2 linked regions of the Lepisosteus oculatus genome follow. The protein of the gene in region 1 interacts with the protein of each later gene in a pairwise test. Links are inferred from orthologs where the notes say so. Each region holds a gene or a part of one and is shown on either strand. Other genes may lie near its edges.

Region 1 (8,069 bases):
CGCTGGCATCAAGGGCTCCAGCAGCTCAGACTCTTTCAGCTTGCACAGGAACCGCAAGGTGGAACCCCGAATGAATTCATTAGGATGCTGTAGGTCCTGTTAATGCAACAGAAATGAATAACCACAAACTATCCTCACCCCAGCAGACACAAGGGCAGATCAGTGACTCCAAAGCCGAAGGCAATTTAGGCCAGGTCGCAATGCTGAAGTGGGTGACTGAGTTAAACCTGCATTCAGGCTTAAGCAACAACAGATTTCTGGCGATTATTAAACAGTACAGTTTAGGTCAACAATTGCCTCCTATTTTGCTTCATGATCAGGTGTTTTTCCCCCATCAAAGTGGCAAGAAGCACACTGTGAGAATAGTTTTCTGTGGCAAATATGGAGTCACGAGAAACGGGTGGCTGGATCAGATTTCATTCCTCCTGCATGGTCCTGGTGATAATTTCTTAAGTGCAAAGCTGTAAAAGAAGAAGCGTTCAAACAAGCTTTGAGCTCAACAGCCATGACAGCTTTTAAATCCTTATTCTATTATTTTACCCACTCTTCATCATAATGTCTTTTGCTTAGAAGTGAAAAGAAAAATCCAATTCAAATATAAGAGGTGCACTGAAAATTCCTATTGATGATTATAGAAGTGGGTCTCGATCAAAACAAACACTGTTCCCCATTTTCCAATTCCTACAACTTTCATGGCTTTTGGAAAATACCTAAGAGTATTAATATTGGGGAAACGCTCTTGGCTCTCTTGGCTGTTCAAGTATTTCTGACTTTTTTTACGAGAAAGATAAGTGGTAAGTGCTCACTCACCAACACTTGAAAAGTGGAGAGAAAAAGCCACAGCTGTGCAACGTGAAGAAGCACTCTTGTTGTTTATAGAAGCGAGACCTTAACACGGCCAGCAATATGATTATAAATATGAAACATATGAAAACTGCAGATGTTAAAATCTTGCAGTAAACCCACAAAACCAAGTGAAGTACATCTAATGTATATTTGACGTCTTATTCTTAGAGTCAAAGCAAGCACATGACCTGGCAAAAACTAACCAACACAGTACAGAACACAGAACAGAAAAATGGCACATGAGGGCAGGAAACAAGTGCCCTTAACCAGACTAAAAGAAAAATATCAAAATGTTCTGAGTTTTTAAGACTTGGTGCAATGGAAATGTATTCTCCTCTGCCCATCTTTGTAGGGAAGATCAGGACAGGAGACATGAAAAAATCTTTTCACAACATACGTGACCGGTCTTCCAAAGCAAACACTTTCAGACAACACTGTCAAAAGGCACAAATTCAGAACATGACACACTAGTGAGCCGGACAAGTACCTTTCTGTAGGCATCACAGACCAAGATCATCTCTTGCAACAGCTTCCCATCTGGAGTGGTCTTGGGAACAATCTCCCAGAAGACAAGGAGCAGCTTTTTAATGGTGTGATCTTGAAGAGGCAGTACAAAGCGAATGATGGTCATCAGCAGGCCAGGCAGCTTCTCCCCATTGAGAATCATGATGATCACCTTCTTCAAGGCCTCCGTTTTGGCCTTGATATCCCCCTTTTCTAAAAGTGAACAGCACCACAAGACTGAAAATGAACACGTGCATAATCACATTCACACAAAGATCACTCAATCCTATCCCCTTTAGAAAACAGGAAAACTACCCCCCAAAAATGCTTTAATCGTGAGTGGCAAAACATCAAAGAAAGAAACACTTTTATTTTTTTAACCATGTGTTAACCATTCAACAAACCTGGTGTAAATCTACAGCAAGTTCTTCCTTCTAGCTTCCCTTGCAGTTGTTTGCATTTAACACTCACCGAGGTCTGTTTTCAAACTTAGTTCTGATGGCGGTTCCGAGTCCATCGGAACATTTATGAGAGTGTAACACACATTCTCCGCGGCGGTCATGATGCCGGCTGTCTAATTTTCTGAACGAAAAACACCAGGAGAAACTTGATGTTGATCAGACCCTGTAACAAAGAACAAGAACATGCATTTTTTTAAGATAAAATTGATCGCAAGTGACTGCTGTGCAAAACGCGAGTAACTTTGCCATATTATACATTATTTATCGACGTGAAATGGCATTAAAATCAACAAAGCAGCTGTCACAAATGACCAAATCATTTAGAATTGGGCTGTCCAATCCTGGTCCTAGAGGATTTAATTTCAATGTAGCTCTTAATGTCCTGTCAGATCATCACTGGGCTAATTGGACCAATTTATTACGTTATCTTAGATCTTCAGGTGCTGCTGCTTTAAAGAGACCTAGAACACCTGCAGACACCCTGACCTCTTCCCTGTACAGCACCAAGAATATCCTGCTCCACGCTGGCACGTCAAATCCGTGCTGTTCATAGAGACATAATTACACTTACTGCTCACAGGACGTTCGCATTTAAATACACATGTATAAGTGGCCTCCGTAAATTAGAACACCTGTAAACACCACTTCTATTATTTTATTTTACGTTTTGCAACCTGATGACAAAAACATAATTCAAGTAAAACTTACAGCATAACGTTCATATATTAATAAGAAACTTGCTGGGAACCAACAGTAACTTATCATGAAGCACTATTTTATCATCTTTTAGGTTCTTCTCCGTAATGAGAATAAATACAATTAACACCACCATATAAAGGGCAGGTGAAAACAACATTTAAGAACAAATACTAAGTAATAAGGCAAAAATGAAACTATATCCTTTTAAGATATTACAATAAACGTAAACATTTTGTATTAGGGCCATAACTTGTCTACCCAAGTCTGACGTTACACAACGATATTTTAACGATTGTTCCCTTGGTGTAAACTACAATACAATAAAAGCATGTGGAAAGCCACTAATTTATTGACCATATCAGTTGACTATTCTGTGCAGGTGTGATCACATAATTTTATAGTAAACTGCACCGAGCTCGTTCTTCTGCACAATCAAGAGGTTTGGCCTAAAAGATAGGCCTCAGGAAGTGACCGGCTCAACTACACAAAATCCCACAAGCTACATCAGAAATCGGTATTGTGGAGGCAAAACCACCACAGTAGCAAGTTTGTGCATAACGTTCAAATCAACAGCCATAACCGATTTATCATGGGTCATCCAACTCCGGCTTGACAAATGTCTTCCTTGTTAATGCTCTCTGTAGTGGTGCCTTGCTGGAACTTCAGCTAAAATAACCTGCGAGATGTGGAGCTTCAATTTACAAAAAGGAAGAACCTTTTGAAAATTACAATGCAATTGTAAATATTTCTTATAGAAGAAACTTCCGTAAAATGATACAAAACCGCATAAATCTACACAATTAAAATGAAAGTTTCTTTACCTTTTTATTCACTGTGTTAACCTCTCCCCAGCTGCACTACGCTACAACATCCAAGTGACGTGGAACTAGGAGGTCTGAGCCACATCAATACTACAGGAAGCTAAGAGGGACAAACTTGCTTAAACTAAGGCGAGAGGGAACAGAAACTCGTTTCTGCCTGCATGCGTACAAATGTGAACTTTTAACGTCACCAACATTTAGTGTATAGATAGAAACAGAGTATAGGTAAATCAGTTTTTCAATTTTATTTTATTGATTCGATCATATCTATAAATAAGAAATGCTTAAATAGATTAGTAGTTAAATCCTACTAATCTATTTAAACATTTCTTGTTTATAGATATGACCGAATCATTAAAATACATTGAAAAAACGATTTGATCGATGTTAATTCAGATTATAATTTTTACGATGAAGTTTAAATGTTCTTTGCAAATCGCCTATTAAAATATGTTCAAAAACAGAAAAAATAAACACCAGTGCAACACTATATATGTTCCTTAATAAAAATAAAACTTTGTTTCAATAATGATAATTTTTTCTAATTTTAAATATTTTTGTAAATATCCACTCGTTGCTTCATTATCACAAACACCTCCCCCTATTAGAACTCAAAAGTGCATTTCATTCTGTTTTAGGGATTTATGTCATGATCAGAACTGTCTGTCAAATGGGTTTAAATGGGAGGATTCAATGTCCACAATTGTCCACCAAGCCTCTGGCCAGTGACATAGGTTAACCAAGAACCTCCACATAACCCAGGTCATTCTACATAAGTGCAGGCATTTATCATTGTGGTCATGTCTACCTTTTCCTGATACCCCACAACCATCTCTCTCCCTTTGTCAGTAATGTCCCCTGAGGGTGTGACCAGATCATAGATTGTCTGTACTTTATTAGCATAAAACAGACTTTTTTTTCCTACGTCAACAGCATTAGTATTGGTATCATTATTTTTATCTGGCTTTTCTGAGAAGAGCAAAAGAAACGTTACAAAAGAGGAAGAGGATGCTATTTGGTTTGTCTAGATTGTGGTTGCTTAACTTAGCAACCTGAGCTAAGAGGATTTCATCCAGCCATTTGTTGAAAGTTTAGTTCAGCTCCAACAACACCTAGTCCAAATCCCAACAACCCTAATGTGAAAAAAAACCCCAACATAACACATTCTCAATCTCATGTTTGTGTTTCATGTTCATATTTGTTTACTGATTCTGAAAAAGTCTATTGGTTTGATTTTATGATTTGATATGTTTTAATATTTGAATCAATTCCCATTATACTCTTCAATACAAGACTATGAAGATTCAGTTTCTTTCTTCTCTGGACTGATGCTATTCTAACATAATGTTTTCATTTTAACATAGTGATAAAGGTTGTGTACAGTATTCTCATAACAGTCTTCTAGTTGAAGGAGCCTATTGATCACAATTTTACATTTATTTATACTGAGCATCAAAACATATCACTCCATTTGAGCATGTATTTTTTTAAAAATAGAATGTGTTTCCACTGATTAAAGCCTGGTGAAATTCAAGTAAATAACAATTATGCCCCATATACAGTATCGAGGGTAAGACTCCATTAAACTAGCCGTTATAACTACTGTTTATTTGAATGTTCAGTATATACAGTATATACTAACATTCTGTTTACTAACTATACCATTGATATAAATTAGGAAGAGTAGTGGTCCTAATACAGATCTCTGTGGTACTCCATTAAGTACATCACCAGAACATTCACCCTTCCTCTGTTCTCTTCATTTCTATAAATGAACTAGTTCTACAGTATATCATATCATATGCTTTGTGTTGTACCCTGTGTTGCTAATGCTTGTTCATATGTATTCTTAAATCAATCAGCACAGAAGCCATGGACATTCTGCTATCCTTGTTATCCCTTAACAGAACAAGATCCCAGGCACTATTGCTGGCTTACATTTAGCTGATTGTTATGTGAGCCAAGGAATATTATTTTTGTTGTAAGTAAATATTTACTGAAGCCCAACAGGGACTATGATTTCACAATAAACATGCCAATGAAGATATATCTTTTAATGATCTGAAATTCATCTGCGTCAGTTTCCTTAACTTTCCACGCATCATGCTCAAATGTGAATGAAAAAGAATAGCGTGCATGATCAGTAAGGAGTGAGGGACAGAGACAATGACAGGAGTAACAACAGAACTCATCTCATTGGAATGATGAGAGAACATTTCTACAATATTCTATATACCTAAAAAAATGCTGACCTCACCAGAAGTTGTTGTGACCTGGGGATAATGACTAACGGGGAGAACACCTTACTGCTTCTTCTGTAACATGACCTCTTCTTGCGGTGCCAGCCCTTTTTGTGAAACTAGAAAATAAACTATCTGCAGGTTTGAGGTCACCCCTGGGATATACTATTACACCTCTTCCTTCAGCGGTGTCCTTCATACTGCAGGAACCTTGACTCAAATCAATATCAAAGGTCTGCTTCGCCTGACACAGGACATTGTTGCACAGCATTTGATGACCCCGTCTGGAAAAATTATAGCAGAAAATACACCTGGTATTTCATAATCCGGTCACATTTTCAATATTTCAGGGTTTTTTTTTTTACTTCCAATGGGTACCGTTTTATCACCATGAAAACTAAAATATGCTCATTTCTTTCCTAATACAACAAACTTTATAACAATTAAACATAGAACTTAAAAGGGTGTTAAAATACCTGCAGATAACCTTTCTATCCACAAGAAATCCTCTATCTAAACAAAACTAACAATTCAATGGGGTGACTTAAACAGCACCATCACCTTTATCCATATTGAACTGAAAGTGGGATTATTAGTAGTATTTCAAGAGGTGTGCGTACAATAATCAATTAACATCATGTTATGTATGTCTAGCAAGCCCATTTTTTTCAGAGAACGTTAGAAGATGCCAAGAGAGCATATTGCTACCTGATATTTTGACTTAAGCAGACAGAAAAAATGACACAATAAAATTGGCAAATAAGCGTACCTTGGACACCACCTCTGAAAACAACATATAACTGAAACTCGGGCCTGGTTCATGATTAATTGGTACCAAATGATTACCCTTTACTTATACATAAAGGAAATTCAGCACCCATCTTACACTGTACCAGCTGATTTAACTCACTATGAAAAACAAACTTAACTATGAAAACAAACATGCAGTCCTGGAACTTCGGGTTCACCTTCAAGACCCTCTATTTTTTAATGGAGCGCAAACCTTTTCTATCTCACAGGATCCTTACATTTAGCAAGTGTGTTTTCTGAAGAGTGCTTTAGACTGCAACCTTATAAAGTACATGGTTAACAAGGTACTACAAATTCTTTTTTATTTTTTATTGGAAGCAGTTGTTACTTAACATTTCTGTTGTTTTGTTTTTTAAAAAAGCTACGACCTGAAACACATAGGGAAAACAAGATTTTATTCTGAAACTTCAATCTGAGGTTGGTTCATATAGAAAAGCATAATATAACTAGTCTTTGTAGAAAACAAAAAAGCTAATATTGTGGTAGGTGGCTTTCTAAGATCTTCTTAGGCCAAAATGGGCTCCATGTTGACATTTACTTTGTGAATGCATGGTCATAGACTGACAGCAGGTATGTTACAGATTGTGAACTTTTTAATCAGCAGTGTAAATCTTTGGCAGCCAGGACCAACATCAGTGCTCCATGGGCTCATCAGCTTTTCCTCCTGCTGGCTCTTCAGGCGGCTGTGCAACCTAGAAATCAAAACAGGAGCAGGCTTCAGTAAAGAAATCCCAACTTTAATAAAGAAACATCATTATTTTTTCTAAAACAAAAATCTTGCCTTAAGTATACAGTTAAATATACTGAGCATGAAAAATTACTGTGAAAAATTCAACAGAAGGATATGTAAAGCAAGCGAAGGCCTTACAGTATAATTTGCTGCATTGTTGTATAAATCCTATACATTTTGGAAAGTGTAATAATTCTTCTTATTCACCTTGAGGGAAACAATCACCCTAATTGTCCCTTAATTCTCTTTTAATTTATATAAATAAAAAGAAAGCTACTCATTTTATAAAAATATATTATATAACTTGGCAAAAAAAACCTTAGCCAATTGTATACTGAATACATATGGAGCAGAACATTGTGCTTATGGAAAGCACAGGAGACATTTTCAGCAAGAGGAAGTTGTGAAAGAACTGTACGGTTAAATATATCTACCTTTCTCTGGGGTCTCTCTTCAAGGCCTTCGAGGAACGGTGCAACTTCGTCATCATCATAGATAGTAAACTCCAGGTCTTTGCCAACAATTCCAATGGAGACATTCTGTGAAGGCCAAGAATGTTACCCTTTAAAGTATTTTTCTGAATATTAAATATGTCATAATAAATAGTAAAGTTAATCATTACTGAATATTAAATCAAACACTAAATACATTCAATGTCCCCCATATTTAAGCTTAAATACATTTTTAAATTTTTACAATTCAAAACAACATTAATAATCACTTTCATAGCCTGTTTTTGGATTCGTGTATCAAATCAATTAAGCATGAAAATGTGAAACAAATGGAGCTAAGCAGTGCACAGTCATACAGAATATAAATCTCTGTCAGTGTAAAATCATTACATACCACATTACATCTAAACATCTTTCATATTTACTGCTTGCTTGTCAATGATGAAATTGTTATAAGACAAATCACCGGGTTTTCTTTGCATCAGACGCTGCACGAATTACTTACC
Region 2 (8,392 bases), on another chromosome or scaffold:
TTACTCACCATCCTCTGAGCCTGTAATGATAATGGGAAGCTCAGGATGAAAACTAACACATGACACATTCTGTGCGTGTCCTTCCAAAGTTTGCACGCAGGTTTTATTCTACAACAGGGAAACAATTTTCAGTATACAGTGCACAGAAATAAAAACAACCTAAAACTATGGTCTCGTGATTTGTCACATATAATCTACTTTTAGTTATAATTTTAATAATACACTATTGTATGTCAACCCTGTATTCTTTAACTGAAATAAATTACATCAGAAAGCCAAGAAGAAAATAATGGAAAAGTTATAATTATAGGTATAATTACAGGTATTTGCTGTTTTTTGTTCCATATACAACAATACATAAATACTAATTGTAGCTATACTTTGCCTTTCCATAAGTACTGAATGGAACCACTAGATCTTCTAAACCAATTCTTAGGACATTTTACTGGAATGTATACCTGGTAGTCCCAGATCTTCACCAAGCGATCATCAGCTCCAGAGATGAGGTACGGTTTGTCTCCTCCACTGTAATAATCAATGCAGTTCACTCCTTTCTCGTGGCCCTCAAGGGTAAAGTTTGGAGAAGAGGACCCAAGCTGCCACACCTGATAAAACAATAAAATGCTGGCTCATTTTCTAAAGAATCATGGATTTGGACATTGTATCAGTCAATTCTGTACTAGAACAGCATTAATCTTAACATACTTTGATGTACATGACTAAAAAGATATGTAGCCTCTGTGAGATGTTACCTTAATAGTTCTGTCCAAAGAGGCACTGGCAAACTGGTTGTTGTCTTTTGGATTGATGACGATCTGCATGACATAGTGGGTGTGGCCCTCAAACACCTGGCTGCAGGACCACTTCTTCTCCCAGTCCCAAAGCTTGATGAGCATGTCATCTGGAGCACCACAAACGTGCCGTCATGAGATCGGACACTATTCTTTCACATCTCCTCTGAATTTCAATACACCACACAACACACTAAAGGATAATTCACTAGGAATAACAACACCCAACAGCCAAGAATTAAGTGCACTGAAAGGTTTACTGAGTGTTTTAGTCTTTGTAAACTTTGATTAACACGCTTGGTTGAGCCTGGACGAGGTGGCTGGCACCCCTGGAGGAGGTGACCAAGGGGCAGCTGCAGAGGATGAGAAGGAGTGGAGGGGGATGTAAAAAACATACCCAGGTGGAGATGGGGATTACATATAGTTTTTATAATTTGGATGTTAGGAATTGTTCATTCCTGACAGCTGAGAGTGACTGAACTTGGCTGTTGGCTGTTCCAAACTTATATTTATAAACTCCCTTTCAACCACCCCTTTTTTCCCCACCATTCTTTCAACTATACACGAAAAGGAAAGGAAACACCACAATACCACATAATTCAAGAACTTATCATGCATGTTGTATTACAAAGACTATTCTCTTGTGAGTTGCCATAGAACACATTTAAAAAGTATTTCATACAGACAACTGCAGTATACATGACAGATAACATCCATGCATCACTTCAGATCTTACCACTGCTGGTGAGAATGTAGGGCTGAGTGGGATGCACTGCTATACAGCGGATGTAATCCGAGTGTGCTTCAAACATGTGAACCCTTTCCAGAGTGTTGTAGTTGAATACACGGATTTGCATGTCATCCTTTATAGAACAAAAAAGAAAGGAAACTTACACATACTTGTCTCAATGTCGATTATCTTAAATCTCCAGCTGAATTTTGTATTGTAAAATTTAAAACCTAAAATTGAGTTTAAGAAACAAAACCATGACATATTATGTTGTGTACCAAATTAATTTATACTATGTAGAGTTTAAAAATGTAAAATCATTTTGCTTCAATGTTACTAACATCATAATGTCTTCTGAAACCATGAGACTCCCATTTTGCTCCACTTACTCCAATTTGGTTTAAAACCAAATAATGCAATACTTATAAATCGAGCTAACAGTTTTAATTCTGTCTTATTATTCAATATTTTCCCCACTATTAAATAAAGGAAAAACACATACTGCTCCTGTGATGACCCAGTTCTTCCTAGCAACAAATTTCGAGGCTCTTACTGGCAAATCACACACTTCAAATGTCTTCACAAGGGTCTGGGGATAAAAAAAAACGTTATTTGGATTACTACAAATAAATTAGCATACTGCTATTTCCCTTGCAACAGCACATGAAGCAACAGTTATTAACAGGTTATGTTTTTGGAGTTTTGCTTGTTTTAACGGCTTTACTAAAATGCACTACACACCAAAATACAGCTATTTATTTGCCAGAGTACAGATAATGCAGACCCCACTTATCTGTTCACTCACAGTACTGCAGCCACATCTTCAGCCAGTAGCCTACCTGGGTCTCATGATTCCACACACAGACACTACCATTATACAGACTGGCCAGCATCCACGGCTCAGTGGGGTGAAGATCGACACTCTTCACTCGGTCCGAGCGAGCGGTCAGCTTCCGCTTAATGTCTAGTCTCAGAGGCTGGAAAACGAAGGTCAGTGCAAACATGAGTTTTTTTAACCTCAAAGGCGCTTCAAACATTAAAAAGTGATGTGCAAAACATATAAACGCCACTTGTGCTGACAGTACGCCTTCAAAGATGAACATTTAAAAGTCAGAGACTTGTATTTTGCTTTAAGGAAAAAAGGCCGATTTAACAAGAGTCAACAGTTGGGTTTTCAGTCTACAACGTCTGCCGCCGTCAAAAATTAAAGCAGCAGCTTAGCGCTGAATCTCTCTACAAGAAGCAGTGATAGAGTGGGTAAGATGCTGTCCAATGTTAAATACAACCTAAGAATTAGGGTTAGTCTACAAAACTCTCCAGGTTTTCAGTGTTTTTGAGCCAGAGGTGAAATTCTAACGTTGGATCTTGGTTTGACACACCACACACCCTCATCTTCCCTTTAATTTTCAAGACAACACGGTGTTCTCACGGCTGACATCACAAGTCACATTCGTATTTTGCAATGACGACCAGCAGGGCTAACTCAATTAATCGCCACAAACACAAACGGATTCAATAAATAACCAAACAGTCCCGTTCTGCATTTCTAATTCCTTCCTGCTCGCTAACCCCTGTCGTGGCAGCCTGTGTGTGCAAGGTTTCTGCCTGTGCTGCTGGGTCAATACAGTGCTGCAAACGTCGGACCCCCGTTTTTTTCACTGAAGAAAAAATACTTTGTAAGTGTACAGCAATTAGAATAATTAATAAAACCCTCAACGTCACCATATTTCAGTTGTGTTGATGTTATTGTGCGCTGGGCCTTCATCTCAAATACATTTCGTACATCAAGGCTTCAGAATTAACTGCAAGCCCTAGACTACAATGCTAGCAGAGGAACCTATTTAAAACGTAACTCCAAATAAAAAAAAGGTGTTCTATGTCTGCTTTTTATCACTTACCATGATTGCACGGAGCCGGAAAACTGATATAAGCGATTACCGGATCCCCTCTCCTAGGTATCGGCCAGCAGGAGCTGCGCTGGACTTACTGACGTGGAGTTTCCTGCCATGAATCACGCGAGAGGTCCCGGAGGCATCACCGCGAGATCTTGTGCAGCTGGTCCAACCCTGGACATTTTCACCGTATTATGGCGATTAGGAGGGGCGTTTTTATTTAGCGTCTCATGCTACAACGTGCTACAACACAGTGTTTTCTATGCATTATATTGTTTAAATAGTAAGGCTGTAAGTACATCAAAATGTGAGCATCATTGTTAAAAATGCCTTTTGGTTCGATCATAGTATGCACAAGGGCTGGCAGAAATGAGTTTCAACCACACCGTCCTCCAGCGAGTTCCAGACTCTAGTTGAAAATCATGTTTGCCTTCTAGGAACTGGGTTTTAAGTCCTCCCAATAGATGGCTGCCTGCTTCGCTTCACACACCCATCTTCGAGGTGGGGAACACGGATGAATTATACTGTTGTTATTTTTTTAAGAACACAAGAATGATTAATTCTTAAGATTAAGACTGTACAACGCATCCACCTTGCGTCTGGGCAGAGGCAACATTGACAGTGACCTGTTTCTGGCCTGAACACATCTACACATCTACTGCTACATCTGTTCTTTTTCTTTTCCCGTTTACAACCGTTTTTTGTGCAATATATGCCAGGGACCCGTGCAATACATTTATATTTATATTTATATCTTTATTTACATCTATATATTAATATGTGCAATACGATTTTTCTGCGTACTGCTCTGTTCTAGTTTGTTCTTTGTGTGTCCGGACTGTGAGTAACTCTTTTAGCGCACCCCTCACTGTCCTGATTGTATTGTATGTATTGTATTATTATTATTATTATTATTATTATTATTATTATTATTTTTATTTTTATTATTGTATCATTCGTTACACTGTGGCGGTGTCTGTGTTAGGCTGCTGTTGCACCACTGCAATTTCCCTCACGGGATCAATAAAGTATCTAATAACGAGGGTCCATTCGCTCCATCCTAGCTCATTCGGAAGTCCATAATGTATTTACTGATTCAAGGACGTCATCCTGGTTTCTACAATGAAAGCACGGTCTTGGTCCACTCTCCCACACCCCTTTTGATAAAGAAGAAAAACAGTGCCTCCTGTTCTGTGTTTGAAATGCCCTTTCACATACTTTCCCATCGTGCCCTCTGCTCCGTGTAATTGTTCATCCTGAAGACGTCTGGTGCGTTGGCTTTGTGCACAGTATATTGAAGTGCCGCCCTGCTGTGCTTCCTTCCCGTGTCAGTGGGTAGGTAGGGGGTGGCACTTTTCCCATGGTCCAAATGTCTGTTTTCCATTAACGCAGAAATGAACTTTGCTATGCAATCTCTGGATTTATTAGAGGTGCAGCAATAAAACTAGAGCATTCGTGTGTTCACATGCTTTATTTGAAGCCATACATTTGACGTTTAGGATAGTGTCTATTGAGAGCAGAAATGGTGGTGTAACAGTTAAGACTGCTGTCTCATAGCTCTTGAGTCTTCTCCCTATCTCCCAAAGACATGTAATGTATAATAATGTAATAATGTTTCTTTATTAGCCCTATACAATTTCTTGCATTAGGAATTTGTCTTTTCGCATACTCCAGCTTTTCTCCATGGAGACACAGACACACAGACAGGGAGAGAAGCTTGGGGTCAGAGCGCAGGGTCTGCCATTGTACAGCACCCCTGGAGCAGTTAGGGTTAAGGGCCTTGCTCAGGGGGCCAACGGAGTATGATTCCTCTGCCAGCCGCGGGATTTGAACCAGCAACCTTCCAGTCACAGGTGCAGATCCTTAGCCACAGAGATGCTGGCTAGGGTGGACGGACTATTCTAAATTGCCCATTTCCTTTCAATGTCCTAATGTCCCATGCAGGGTGACAGCAGCCTTTGTGCTCTCTGTCTTGCATTGGACCTCCAAGGTTAGTCTCTGTGTTGCTGAGACCCTCACCTGCACAGGCAGATTTCTCATAGAACATGGATGTGTATTAAAGTCCCCAATTCTCCACTTCCAATACTCCTTTAATAATAATAATTATATTAGTTAATAATTGCTTACACTTATATAATGCTTTTCTGGACACTCCACTCAAAGTGCTTTATAGGTAATGGGGACTCCCCTCCACCACCACCAATGTGCATCCCCACCTGGATGATGCAACAGCAGCCATTGTGCACCAGATCGCTCACCACAGATCAGCTATCAGTGGAGAGGAGAGCAGAGTAATGAAGCCAATACATAGAGGGATTAGTGGGAGGCCATGATTGGTAAGGGCCAATGGGAAATTTAGCCAAGATGCCAGGGTTACACCCCTACTCTTTTCAAGAAACGCCCTGGGATTTTTAATGACTACAGAGAGTCAGGACCTTGGTTTTACACGGCACCTGTTTACAGTATGGTGTCCCCGTCACTATACTGGAGCATCAGGACCCACATGGACCGCAGGGTGAGTGCCCCCTGCTGGCCCCACTAACACCTCTTCCAGCAGCAGCCTTAATTTTCCCAGGAGGTCTCCCATCCAGGTACTGACCAGGCTCACACCTGCTAAGCTTCAGTGGGCTACCGGTTTTGAGTTGCAGAGTGATATGGCTTCTGGCACTAGCCACCAACTATCCACCTTTAACACTATCCACCAAGAAACCCATTCCAAGCCTACATGTGACTCAGCTTGAAAACAAAAGAGGAGAAAAAGATTTGTGCTGAAGAAAATTCTGAGAAGGGTCAATACGAAGAGTTTTCCGAGAAGACTGGTCTCCAGGTTTTGCGTTTTTTAAATTCAAGTCTACTGAAAATAATTGTGTGTACACTGTTGTTTAAAAAAATGCCAATAATGGAAAATGTGGAGACTGCACATCATGCAAGTTTTCAGAGTGCAGCACTTGAAAATCAGAGTAATCAGTTTCTTTTATTTTCTTAATGGTGCAATTTATTCCAGGGGTTGGCTTTTTTTCTTTCCTACTCCCCATACAGGCTATTTTGTTACAGTATTTGTGTATTGTGTGGCTTTCTTTCATTGCTTTACTAGATTCCCAAAGCATGCTGACAAATGCAATGTAGGACTCTGCTGCTTAATCCAGAATTAAGGAATATATATTGTCATAAGTGCATGGCCAGAAATAATATGGAAGCAGTCCAATATTCCACATATTCAGCTTAAAGCTGTTAAGCTTTGCTTTGTAGCTAGAGAGCCTGTTTGGATTTCTCCTCTCATTTATCAATGTATTCCAGTATTCTGAGGAGCTCTCAGAAAGTTACAAACGTTCAATAAGGCATTCATATAATATCGGAGAAAATCACTGAAATTAGAAGTGAGCATACAATTCCAGAATCAGACCTTCCTTTGACCGCATCCCTGAATTGTTGTTTTTCTCACTTATTATGTTCTCCCCTCAATTAAAAAAACAAAACAATGACTTTAGAACCATTTTTGCAATACTGTCAAAAACCGGTTTTAATATGCTTAAAATGATAATAATGAACAGGAATTCCAGCTTTATTGTTATTGTTTCTTCTTAAACACCTGATGGCAGACTTTGTCTTCACATGTCAGTTCCTGGAGAGATATACAAGAAAGATAGGAATTCATTTATATACAAAGTAAGAAAATATTCTGAATGATGTACTGCAAATCATTAACTAGAACATCAATGGCAAAATGTAAAAAAAAAAAGTCCTTTCATGGTCAAAAACTAAGTTGTGCCTGGCATGTGAGGTGAACAGTTTCCAGAAGATAAAGCAGAGTGTTAAATTCGACTATACAGTGCCTCATCTCCTTATCTACCCCAAGAAACATAACTTTACTTGTATATAAGCTTCTAAAAATGTGCATTTTGTAGCTACTGTATCTCCTGGTGAAAGCCAGATGAGTTGTCTTTGAAACAGCTGCTGTAAATAAATCGGAACATGTTACCTATTCCTGTTGTCCTAAGAGTCATCCTTTTAGCAGTACAGAGTCACTATTGATTTACTGTAATATTGTAGGCCTAAGTGAAGAAAGTGTTTATATGACGGTTAAGTGAAAAGAGGAGGACTCACCAAGTGCAGTTTGTCTCCTTCAATCCAGTGTTTCCAGCCTCTGTTGGCTTTTTCTCCCTTCTGGACACAAACCAGTTTATCACCATCCCATGTCACCACAGTCTGGGATGTAAAAAGACAACAAGAAAATGACAGCATTTTGTAGGCATTTGGACAGTGTGACCAGTCTGTGTACGAACAGGATTAGGCATTATGTCTCAGAAAATTCATTCTCCTTACATAAAAAAGTATTTTGCTTCCACGTTTGTTTTATAGTTTTCTTGGTTAGCTATGTATTCTTTGAGTGGATAGTGCAATTTGTGATCTGAAGACTTCATTATTCCTTGATATAAAAGATTAAGAAAGATTTAAAAAGACAAAGGTTCAAGAGAAGAAGCTCAATAACAAGCTCTTTAGCTAAAATGTTCCGAAATAACCTCTACTCATTCTCATATATTTTTTCTATTGGTCAAATATTACTTCCTTTCAGAAAAGGTCCTCTTGCTGAGGAAATGAGAATACCTGTAAAAAAAAAATATCCCAGATTTAATCATGCTTGCACAAATAAAGCCACCCATATTATGAATATTAAACATAATTTTGTATTTCTTTTTGGTGAATAACCCTCAGGAACCCTTAACGTGTTAACATTACCAAAAAATAAATAGCATCATAACTAAAAATAACTTAGAAGCTTCAGGCGGTTTCTTAACGGTGAAGAGGTTTGTACCTTGACCACTCTGTTATCCAGGCCCTTAGTGTGTTCCTCAAACTCCTCTCCTATGGTGTAGTTCACATCATAATTCCGAAATGTGCTCAGGGTTTTCGTCTCAAATTTGTCCCCATTCTGAACAAACACTTTTGTCTGTTTCAGGTGCAAGGCAATTTTGCGGGTA

Evidence for each region. The genes of interacting proteins can lie anywhere in the genome.
Region 2: the proteins of copb1 (region 1) and copb2 interact in a two-hybrid assay, tested with the Homo sapiens proteins (2 studies listed by BioGRID, with this or other methods). The link is inferred for Lepisosteus oculatus from reciprocal best matches to the Homo sapiens genes COPB1 and COPB2.

What each region holds. Positions count from the first base shown.
Region 1 is NC_090716.1:10,266,742-10,274,810, forward strand, and holds the start of copb1 (coatomer subunit beta), read right to left. Parts: upstream 3,430-8,069; 5' UTR 3,332-3,429; intron 1,975-3,331; 5' UTR 1,913-1,974; coding exon 1,822-1,912; intron 1,564-1,821; coding exon 1,334-1,563; intron 97-1,333; coding exon 1-96. Other genes in the region: psma1 (proteasome subunit alpha type-1), read right to left, coding at 7,014-7,073, 7,546-7,650, 8,069-8,069. UniProt on the Homo sapiens protein: The coatomer is a cytosolic protein complex that binds to dilysine motifs and reversibly associates with Golgi non-clathrin-coated vesicles, which further mediate biosynthetic protein transport from the ER, via the Golgi up to the trans Golgi network.
Region 2 is NC_090708.1:7,921,049-7,929,440, reverse strand, and holds the start of copb2 (coatomer subunit beta'), read right to left. Parts: upstream 3,530-8,392; 5' UTR 3,423-3,529; coding exon 3,420-3,422; intron 2,499-3,419; coding exon 2,361-2,498; intron 2,111-2,360; coding exon 2,024-2,110; intron 1,655-2,023; coding exon 1,528-1,654; intron 902-1,527; coding exon 753-901; intron 606-752; coding exon 459-605; intron 109-458; coding exon 9-108; intron 1-8. Other genes in the region: retinol-binding protein 2-like, read right to left, coding at 6,982-7,035, 7,518-7,619, 8,227-8,392. UniProt on the Homo sapiens protein: The coatomer is a cytosolic protein complex that binds to dilysine motifs and reversibly associates with Golgi non-clathrin-coated vesicles, which further mediate biosynthetic protein transport from the ER, via the Golgi up to the trans Golgi network.